3 linked regions of the Cricetulus griseus genome follow. The protein of the gene in region 1 purifies or fractionates together with the protein of each later gene. This does not show direct contact. Links are inferred from orthologs where the notes say so. Each region holds a gene or a part of one and is shown in the gene's direction. Other genes may lie near its edges.

Region 1 (2,389 bases):
AGCTTAGTCCTAGCTTCTGTCGGCTGCTGGCTACACTGTCTTATGTATTGCAGATGCTCACCTCGCCATCTACCTAAATTCCCACTGATCACAAAGATGCTATGGATGACCACCCTGTTTGTTACATGTATAATGCGCACTTAGCTATGTGCTTTATATACAATATTCCATCAATTTCTCTCTCACATACACAAAAAACCTTTGGCTATTATGAGGAGCCACAGGATGCCTGGGAAGCTGGATTTTATGAATTTATAAGCTATTCTCCTCATCCACAGGTATTTGGAATTCAGCTGAAAGAAATCGACAAGAGTGACCACTTATATATTCTTCTCAGTACCTTAGAGCCCACTGATGCAGGCATACTGGGAACGTAAGCTGGGGAAGTGCTAGGGTGTGAAGGGGCTTCTTGCTTCCTCTTAGAAGCTCAGGAGAGAGGGTCTAAACACCTGTGTCCCAGCTCCCACACATGGCTGGATCCCTATGAGCAATAGGGTGCCAGATTATAACTGACAGAAGGGTTTCAGAGCCTGGACTGGGGCATTCCTGCTGTCAGGTTTGCTTGTTCTAACAAGCTCCCAGGAAATTGGATTGCTGTCACTTGTCTCTTCTACTGAGTGCCTGGCCTGGCTGTGGAAGGGTGGCTTTTAAAAGAGGGAGGGATTTCTGTTGTGCACCATGATGCTTGAGAGCAGGAGTGTCACTAGTGTTCCATCTAGTACTTCTCAGTGCCAGGGGACTTCGGGAGATAAAGAAAAGCCTCCCAATGACTGAGTGTCCATGTGGTGGACAGGGATTCCTCCATGTCCCGCTAACCCTGGGTAGAGATAGTATGTGGTTTCCCATTTTACTGGAGACCTTGGCTCAAGAGTGAAAGCAGCTTGCCTTAGGTCATGGATAGCTGGGACCATAGAGTAGGCCAAATTTTCTGTATCTGAGGAATCTAGGTGAGGCTGGTCTATTGAGCTGTGCTGTATAGATGGTGGCTCATGAACATAAATTTTCTCTCTGTCCTGTTATTCTCTTAGGACCAAGGACTCACCTAAGCTGGGTCTCCTCATGGTGCTTCTTAGCATCATCTTCATGAATGGAAATCGATCCAGTGAGGGTGAGTGGCTGGACATGCAGTTGAATAGGTGGCTGTTGTCTGAATTCCAGGCGCTCATTTTCTGTCTTTGTCTCCTTCTTGCCTCCTCTTGCAGCTGTCATCTGGGAGGTGCTGCGCAAGTTGGGGCTGCGCCCTGGGTATGATTGGGCTCTCTCAGCGCTTGCTGTCCATGTTGTCTTTTGGCAAGAGAGGATGGTCCCAGGATTGCATCAGCCTGGTGGTCTGATGGAGCATGTGTGGGGTGGGGGTGGGGAAAACTGGGCTGGGTAGTGGGCCCAGGGTTCTGACCTACTGGATGGGGAAATGCCTCCCATCTCTGCTCACCTTCTCACCATCTCTTCAACTTCCATGGAGCTTTCTCTATACTGTAAATCTGTTTTGTCATGGAAATGCCTCTGCCAGCACTTGGGAAGTGTAACAGATCTGATTATATTTATTTGCTTATTCAGCTTTCTGTGTTCTCAGGATACATCACTCACTCTTTGGGGATGTGAAGAAGCTCATTACTGATGAGTTTGTGAAGCAGAAGTAAGTGCCTATGTCTCATGTGCGTGTGTTTGTGGTCTAAGGTGTGCATGTGTGTATGCTGTTGGCAGGTTATTTCTGGGAGCAGTCACAGCTTCAGAACAACTCTGTGAGGGAGTTGAAGACAGTCTTAAGGAATTTAAGTCATTTGCTCAGGGTTACACAGATAGCAAATAAAAATTGTGTTTAGAACATGGCTCTTTTTACTTGGCTAAGTAGCACTTTAAAAAACTTAATTTCCATTAAGATGGCCTCAAGTGGTACCCTTAGGCAACCCAGGATAGTGCTGCTGGGTACTGACTTGTGGATTTAGTATCATTTATATAACTGTGTACCATTCATTTAGGTAAATGATATGATATGATATGATCCCTAAGAGGGGATGTTTGAGCATGGCCCACAGGTAATTTTAAAAAAGGCTCAGTTGGGTCTGGAATCCTAACCTGTTGACTTTGTAACTAGGAGTCTACCTTGTATTATTGGGTGTCAGAGAAGAATATGCATGCACTCACATAGAGAAACAGTTGTGTTTAGGAATATGATCTCTCTCTCTCTCTCTCTCTCTCTCTCTCTCTCTCTCTCTCTCTCTCTCTCCTCTTCCTCTCTTCCTCTGTCTCCCCTGCCACGTACTCCATTCTGGCCTCAAACTTATATGGTTAGGGATGACGGTTAATTCCTGATCATCCTGCTTCAGCCTCCCGAGAGCTGGAATTTAAGGCATGTGCTACCATGCCTGGCCAGTCTTTTTTTTTAATA
Region 2 (3,750 bases), on another chromosome or scaffold:
TGTCTGGAAATATTGTTGCAGTTCCAAGTACAGCGTCTGCTCTCTGGTGCTCACAGCATGAGGAGGGGGACTGGCAGGGGTCTGCTAAGGGATTAGCGAGGGGTTAGACGAACTGAACGCGAATCGTCGGCAGGCTCCCGGAGCCGGAAGCCGCGAGTCTCGGTCGCCGTTACTGCCGCGGCACGGTGGGTCGGTGGGTTAGTGCTTATCGGGTCCTCTAGTTTTTAAGACCACTCTAAATGGGTCACGATCCCACGTATCCCACCCAGTCTCCATTCCCCCTTCCTGAGAAGGCAGAAGCCCGTGCTAGGTGGGGGTCTTCCGGTAAGCCCCGCGCCCCCTCCCCTATCTGCGCCGCCGGCGCCGCAGCGGTAACCGCGTAGGGGTCTTTGCTCGATTTTGCCGCAGTGTACCGCCGAGACCCTTATTTCTACTGCGTCACCATCCACATAAACAAGCCGAAGCCTGATGCGTCACGCTAGGCTATTGCTGAGAGCCCCCCCACCGGAAGTGTAATGGGGAAGGGGCATATTGAAGGGGGATTTACCGAAGCTATCCTTGACAAACAGCAAACAAAAACATTTAAAAAAAAATAATAAAATTACCCCGGAGCATTTAAAAAACAAACTGCGTGTTCATATTTGACAACTCATCGCCCTTCATCCCCTCTCCGCCTTTCCGGTGGGCTCACGACCACCTGTCGCATTTTTATGATCGCTCCTCTACCCCTTCCCGGGCATCCTAAAGGCTCATTTCCCCAACTCAGAGCTGAGAACGGGTAATTGCCCGAGGCTGGGGTCCTCGGATAAGGTGTTTGCCGCAGACTGGGGTAATCTGGGGTGACAAAGTCCTCCTGCAGTCCCTCCTCCCCTCGGGAAGAATCTGATGGGGCGGGAGGGTTTCAGCGCCTGTACTCTGTCAGACCAATGCCCACGTCTTACGTCACGTGGCCCAGCAACGCAGGAGAGCGCGCTCTCTCTCTCTGGCCAGGGGAAAAGCGAGGAGCTCAGACTCAGAAGCAGTCTGGGAGAGGAGAGGAAGGAGGCGAACCTCCCTGCGAGGCCTGCGCTCATCAGCCCCCATACCCAAAGTCGGGAACTGCCGGCACCGGGAGCCAGCTCCCGGAGCCGGCTTAGCACTGAGACCGGCGTCCTCTGGCGGCAGAGAAAGAGTTTTACTAACGATTTTCGAGACGAATCGGCACGCTCTTAGATGCCAAGAAGGCGGGGCCAAAGTTAGCAAAGTAAGAAGAGAGTCCAGAAAAGTCGTGGGAGTGGCTGGCCGACCGCAACTTGAAGGCAGAAGTGTGGCTCCGGAGGCTCCGGGTCTTCCCAGCAAGAAATGAGGTACTTCAGCCACGATCTTGAGTTTTAGCCTCTCAGAATCTATCCTTACAAAGATTGGAAACTGAGGCTGGAGAACTTTCCAGCCAATACTCGAATATTTTAAAAGAAAAAATTTTTTGACCCTAGTTTGGCTGGGTGCTCCGTCTTACGGGGCCCCAAATTTATTTTAAAAAACCGCAACCGTGTTATGGGCATGCGCAGCCGCGTCCACGGCAACAATATGCCAGGACAACACGATATCCCCGGTGAAGTCGGGGAGCAGCCCGAGCAAGAACCTTTGGAGGCCCCAGGGGCAGTTGCCCCCGGTGCTGGGCTTGGCCCAGCCGAAGAAATGGAGGCCGAACCGTCTGCCAATGAGCCCATCCCCGCCGAGAACGGCGCTGAGGGCTATGGACCCCAGGGGGTCTCCGGAACCGACTTTCAGGGCGTCCACCAGGCGGTCGAGGAAGTCGGAGTGGGTGGAGACTATAGCCCCCCACCAGAGGAATCCATGCCATTTGAGACGAAACAGCCCAGCCCCGGAGGTTTCTGGCCCACCCTGGAGCAGCCTGGAAGATCTGGGGCCCAAGCAGGTCTCAAAACCTTCAATCCAGCGCTTTTGGAGCCCGGGACCCCCAGTGGTGCGAGCCCCGCCCAGGGAACCTACAGCCCCCCACCAGAAGAAGCTATGCCATTTGAGTTCAACGAGCCTGCCCAGGAAGCCCATAGCCAGTCGCCCTTGCCAGTCCCAGACCTTGCGCCAGGAGGTCCGGAGGCAGAGGTCCTCAGAGCACTTCCCGCGGAGCCCGGGAACATCAGATTTGCAATCGCTAGCTTGCGAGATGACTACAGCCCTCCACCTGAAGAGTCTGTGCCGTTTGGGCCCGATGGAGAAGAATTTGGGGGCGATAGCCCACCCCCGGGCCTCCCCCGAGTCACCCGACAAGTCGGCTTTGGCGGCGAGTTCCCGACAGCCGCGGTCCCGAGTGCGCTCAGTCTCGCTCCCGCCGAGAACGCGCCTCCCCTCTGGGTCCACAGCGCCATTGACAGACCGTTCAGCGAGGCTATCAGAGCTCCCGCTAACTTCGCCTGCGACAGTCCCCCAATGGAGATCTCCAGACCCCCGCTGGAGATTGGCAGAGCCTCCTCTAGGGTCGGCGACGACACAACTGTCAATATGGACGGCCCCCCAATCGCAAGTGTTGGCCCGCCCATCGAAGTCTCCGGAGCACAAGATAAGAGCGAGCGCGGCGCAGAGAGACCCCCAGTTGAGCGAGAAGCAGCCGACATGGAAGGAAGCCCAACCACCGCTGCTGCGGTGGAAGGAAAAGTCCCTTCTCCGGAGAGAAGAGACGGATCCTTCACCCAGCCAGAAGCCATGGATGACAAGCCAGCCTCAGCTGCCCAGACCGTCGCTACCGAACAAGATGCCGCCTCCGCGGCTGCCAGCGGCGGCTCTCCTCCAGCCCCAGCAACACCCGCGGATCTCCAAACCGATCCCGAAGAAGTCGGAGCCACCCCAGCTGTCCGCGCGGAGCCTGACGGAGGAGCAGCCCCGGTCATCGCAGCAGCAGCCACCCCTGCCGAGTCTGAAGGTGGAGGAGATCCAGCCGCCGCGGAGGAGCCAGCCTCCGAGGCAGTCCCTGCCGCCAAGGCCGAGCCTGCCTCCGGGGCAGCCCCCGTCACCCAGGTGGAGCCCGCAGCGGCGGAAGTCTCTGCTAAGGCAGAGCCTGCCGCCCGGGCAGCCCCTGTCACCCCTCCGGAGCCCGCTCCCCGGCCAATCCCCACTGCCAGAGCCCATCCGGCTGCCGGGGCAGTCCCTGGCGCCCCAGCGATGCCAGCCTCCGCTCGGGCAACTGCCGCTAGGGCAGCCTATGCAGGTCCTCTGGTCTGGGGAGCCAGGTCACTCTCGGCTACTCCTGCCGCCCGGGCATGCCTCCCGGCCCGTGCAGCTGCCGCCGCCCGGGCAGCCTCTGCTGCCCGGGCAGTCGCTGCGGGCCACCCAATCTCTGTCGCCCGGTCAATGTCTGCCTCCCGGGCATACCCTCCCGCCCCGAGCAGGGCCCATCTTAGACCCCCCAGCCCCGAGATCCAGGTTGCTGACCCGCCTACTCCGCGGCCTGCTCCGAGGCCGAGCGCCTGGCCAGACAAGTATGAACGTGGCCGAAGCTGCTGCAGGTACGAGGAGGTATCATCCGTCATCTGCGAGATTGACTCCTCCAGCGATGAGTCGGAAGAAGGGGCCAACGGCTGCTTCCAGTACCTTCTGCGACGAAACCGCCGCCCCGGCCAGACCCGGAGCCACACGGTCGGATGCAACCCAATCCGCAACTTCTTCACCAGAACCTTTGGAAGCTGCTTCGGAGCCCCCGAGAGAGCCCGTTCCCTCAGCCCCGGGAAGGCCAAGGATCCTTTTGAAGAGAGG
Region 3 (3,750 bases), on another chromosome or scaffold:
AGTAGTCTTATTGCCATTCATTTCGTAAGACTTGGTATCTATATTTTGGGGTTTTTTTCCAGACAGGTTTTGTTTTTTTTGTTTTTTTGTTTGTTTTTTTTTAACTCCGTGGCTTTGGAGGCTGTCCTGGAGCTAGCTCTTGTAGACCAGGCTAGTCTCGAAATCACAGAGATCTGCCTGCCTCTGCTTCCCAAGTGCTGGGATTAACAGTGCCTGCCATCACCGCCCAGCTGCCAGACAAGATCTATGTAACCCTGGCTGTTCTGAAACCCACTGTGTAGACAGGGCAGGCTGTCTCCTTAAACTCAGAGCTGTCTCCTTCCAGGTGCCGGGAGTATAAGACATGAGTGTTTGTTGTTTATGTGTTTGCCTGTTTAACCTACATGTCTGCACCACACTCACGCCTGGTGTTCATGGAAATCAGAGTCTGATGCCCTAGAAACTCCAGATAGATCTGGGACTAGAACTCTAGTCCTCTGCAAGAGTAACAAATGATCCTAACCACGGAGCCTTACGTCCAGCCTCTGGTATCTTCAATTCTTAACATAATGTGATGATGTAAGCCATGAATTCCTGCTTCCAGGAAAATGATAGTCCATTAAAAGCTGGATGAACTATTAGGGGGTGCAGAGGTTTCCAAAATAGATGCCACTGCATAGCAGCTGGGTGCAGGTCAACTTGAGCATTCCCGATGTTTAGAAGGTTCCAGAAGTGGTTTTTTGTTTTGTTTTTCGAGACAGGTTTTCTCTGTGGCTTCTTTTGGAGGCCGTCCTGGAACTAGCTCTTGTAGATCATGCTGGCCTTGAACTCAAAGATCCAGATCCGCCTGCCTCTGCTTCCCAAGTGCTGGGATTAAAGGCGTGCACCACCACCACCGCCCAGCAAAAATTCCAGATGCATTGTCCAAGGCTACAGCTTATTAAGGGTTTGAAAGAAGGGATCTGCGGATTAAATAAAACAGCGGGTCACTCTTGAAAGAAGAATGCCAATTTTATTTAGAGGGGAGTTGATTTATATACCATCAGCAGCACCCTAGGAAGTAACTCAGATCAAAGTCCATGCTCTTAAGGCCCTGACAATATGCAGATAATTTGCATATTTGTAAACAGGCCGTGTCTGCAGGAGGGAAAATGAATAGCACCTAGCCATAAGGCAGCCAGTAGCTCCCCAAGGGTCCTGTGGATCAGAGAAGAAAAGCAGACTCCCAGGGGGTCCCCCACATCCAGAAGACTTTTAAGTGAGGTGATCTCAGAGTATGTGGATTGAGAAGAGTGGGCAGTAAAGGAGAGACAGCCCATCAGCCCAGGGAGAACAGAGCTAAGGGATTCAGGACATCCCCGTTGCACTGGAGGCCCTCAGCAGAGGGCGCAGTCTGGCTCGGTTCCTGTCGCCCGGTGACGTAAGAGACCTTCCCGGGCGGGGGCGTGGCTTCCGGCGGTGTTCGAGGTCATATATACTGTCTTGCTCGACAGGGTCGTCACTCACTCCGCACGTGTCTTCCTCACCATGCTTTCTCTGCTGCGCTGCGTGCCCCGCGCCCTGGGCGCCGCTGCCACGGGCTTCCGCGCCGCTGCCCCGGCCTCGCCTCTCCCGCAGCTGCTGCAGCCCGCGCTTCGACCGTGCCTCCGGCCCTTCGGGCTGCTCAGCGTGCGGGCCGGCTCCGCACGGCGTTCCGACCTCTTGAAGCCCCCGGCGCCCTGCTCCTGCGGCTGTGGAGCTCTGCACACCGAGGGTAAGATTCACGCATCCAGGCCGGGATGTGGGGACCCAGCTTGGAACGGATCCCGAGCTGGACCCTCGCGATCGCAGGCCCCACTCCTCGTATCTTGGAAATATGACTTGGCAAAAGCCCGGAGGGGTCGTGGTTTGACAATGTGGTTGCTGGACATGGCTTTTGGCAAGTGAAAGCGGGTAGTTGGGAATTCTTGTTTTATACGGAGAGCAATAATACTAAGTACACTAAGGAGAAATAACTGCTAGAAGAGACATCCTGGTTTTACAGAGTGGGAAACGGACGTTTTCCGGAGTGAATTGGGCTAGAGTCATAGAGCAGCCATAGAAACAGATTAGGCACAGTCCAGGTCTATAGGGTAAGGCAGTTGGCTTTCTCTTTTTTGACCATGTTGGGTTGTCTTTTAGGAGACAAAGCCTTTGTTGAATTCTTAACGGATGAAATTAAGGAAGAGAAGAAAATCCAGAAGCATAAATCCCTTCCCAAGATGTCTGGGAATTGGGAGCTGGAAGTGAACGGGACAGAGGCTAAATTATCGCGCAAAGTTGCTGGAGAAAAGTAAGTACTGGCCCTGGAGTTCTAGGAGACTTTATCACTTACTCTGTCTTGGCCATCCCCATTAGGCCTGAGCTTAGGCCCCATGCTTTGGTAAAATGGCTTTTGAGAAAGCATGCAATTGGAAATTTTCTTAGGTTCCAGGGAGGACATTCACTGACAGATTTGCTGTGGCCTGGTAATTAATGTGTAAAGGGAAGGCTGTTGGGATGGCAGACACAGGCAAGCATTGGGTTATTGGTGACAGTGCTGTGCCCTGCCTGGATTTAGGCACTAGATTTTAGGAATGTTTAAAGTGCTGATTTGTTTAGAATTCACATAAAATTATCTCCTCTGGCTTGTGTTTATAACAGTTGAAAATGCAAGATATGTAACTTTTGTTTTTCGAGACAGGGTTTCTCTGTGGCTTCTTTTGGAAGCTGTCCTGGAGCTAGCTGTTGTAGACCAGGCTGGCCTCTTACTCACAGAGATCCGCCTGCCTCTGCCTCCCAAATGCTAGGATTAAAGGCGTGCGCCACCACCCACCCCGGCACGCCCATGCCTTTAGTCCCAGCCCACCTTTCTCTGAATTTGAGGTCAGCCTGGTCTACAAGAGCTAGTTCCTGGCCAGGCGTTGGTGGGGCATGCCTTTAATCCCAGCACTCGGGAGGCAGAGGCAGGAGGATCTCTATGAGTTCGAGGCCAGCCTGGTCTCCAGAACAAGTGCCAGGATAGGCTCCAAAGCTACACAGAGAAACTCTGTCTCGAAAACACAAAAAAACTAGTTCCTGAACAGCCTTCAAAGCCACAGAGAAACCCCGCCTCAGAACCCCCCCCCAAAAAAAAGTAACAGGATGAAATTACAGTGTAGAAAGGCCATCAGAGGTAGAGTTCTTTGTCAAGCTTAGCTTACCCCTCCCCTAAACGGGTCTCTATGGTACTTTGTAGCACAGACTGGTTCTTCATCCTTCTGCTTCAGATCCTATGTGCTAAAGTTTCAGGCCTATGCTACTACACCTGCTGCCCCTAAAACCTTTAACTTTGTTATGCTGATTTGTTACTCTTTCACCAGTCTTAGAGTCCTGCCTCTAAGGGCTTCTCTAGCATGTGTGAGGCCCAGGGTCAGCCCCCAGTGAGTGCCCCTTAAACACACATGTGTAAGAAAGCAGCTTTATCCAGTGGGGGCCTGTAACCCTAGTTCAAAGCTAGGCTGGGCTGTGGTGGTACACACCTTAAATCCCAGGGAGGCACATCTCTTGAGTTCAAGCTCAACCTGCTCTATAGAGCAAGTTCCAGGACAGCCAAGGCTTGAAAAACCTTAGAAAAGTTCAAAGCCAGAAGAAAAGGGTCATTGACTCTGGGGTGTGGCCACATTTGGTGATTGTCTTCTAACAGGGTGGAAAAGTTCTCTCAAAATTTGCAGGGCAGTGGTGGTGCACACCTTTAATCCCAGCATTTGGGAGGCAGCCTGGACTACAGAGTGA

What was found.
Region 2: the proteins of Maged2 (region 1) and guanine nucleotide-binding protein G(s) subunit alpha isoforms XLas-like purify together in Homo sapiens (affinity purification with mass spectrometry; 3 studies listed by BioGRID, counting the BioPlex papers as one, with this or other methods). This does not show direct contact. The link is inferred for Cricetulus griseus from reciprocal best matches to the Homo sapiens genes MAGED2 and GNAS.
Region 3: the proteins of Maged2 (region 1) and C1qbp purify together in Homo sapiens (affinity purification with mass spectrometry; 3 studies listed by BioGRID and IntAct, counting the BioPlex papers as one, with this or other methods). This does not show direct contact. The link is inferred for Cricetulus griseus from reciprocal best matches to the Homo sapiens genes MAGED2 and C1QBP.

The regions. Positions count from the first base shown.
Region 1 is NC_048604.1:108,707,847-108,710,235, forward strand, and holds part of Maged2 (melanoma-associated antigen D2), read left to right. Parts: intron 1-278; coding exon 279-373; intron 374-1,028; coding exon 1,029-1,108; intron 1,109-1,202; coding exon 1,203-1,245; intron 1,246-1,573; coding exon 1,574-1,636; intron 1,637-2,389. UniProt on the Homo sapiens protein: Regulates the expression, localization to the plasma membrane and function of the sodium chloride cotransporters SLC12A1 and SLC12A3, two key components of salt reabsorption in the distal renal tubule.
Region 2 is NC_048599.1:4,772,189-4,775,938, reverse strand, and holds the start of guanine nucleotide-binding protein G(s) subunit alpha isoforms XLas-like, read left to right. Parts: upstream 1-1,533; coding exon 1,534-3,750. UniProt on the Homo sapiens protein: Guanine nucleotide-binding proteins (G proteins) function as transducers in numerous signaling pathways controlled by G protein-coupled receptors (GPCRs).
Region 3 is NC_048600.1:84,787,674-84,791,423, reverse strand, and holds the start of C1qbp (complement component 1 Q subcomponent-binding protein, mitochondrial), read left to right. Parts: upstream 1-1,441; 5' UTR 1,442-1,506; coding exon 1,507-1,732; intron 1,733-2,139; coding exon 2,140-2,290; intron 2,291-3,750.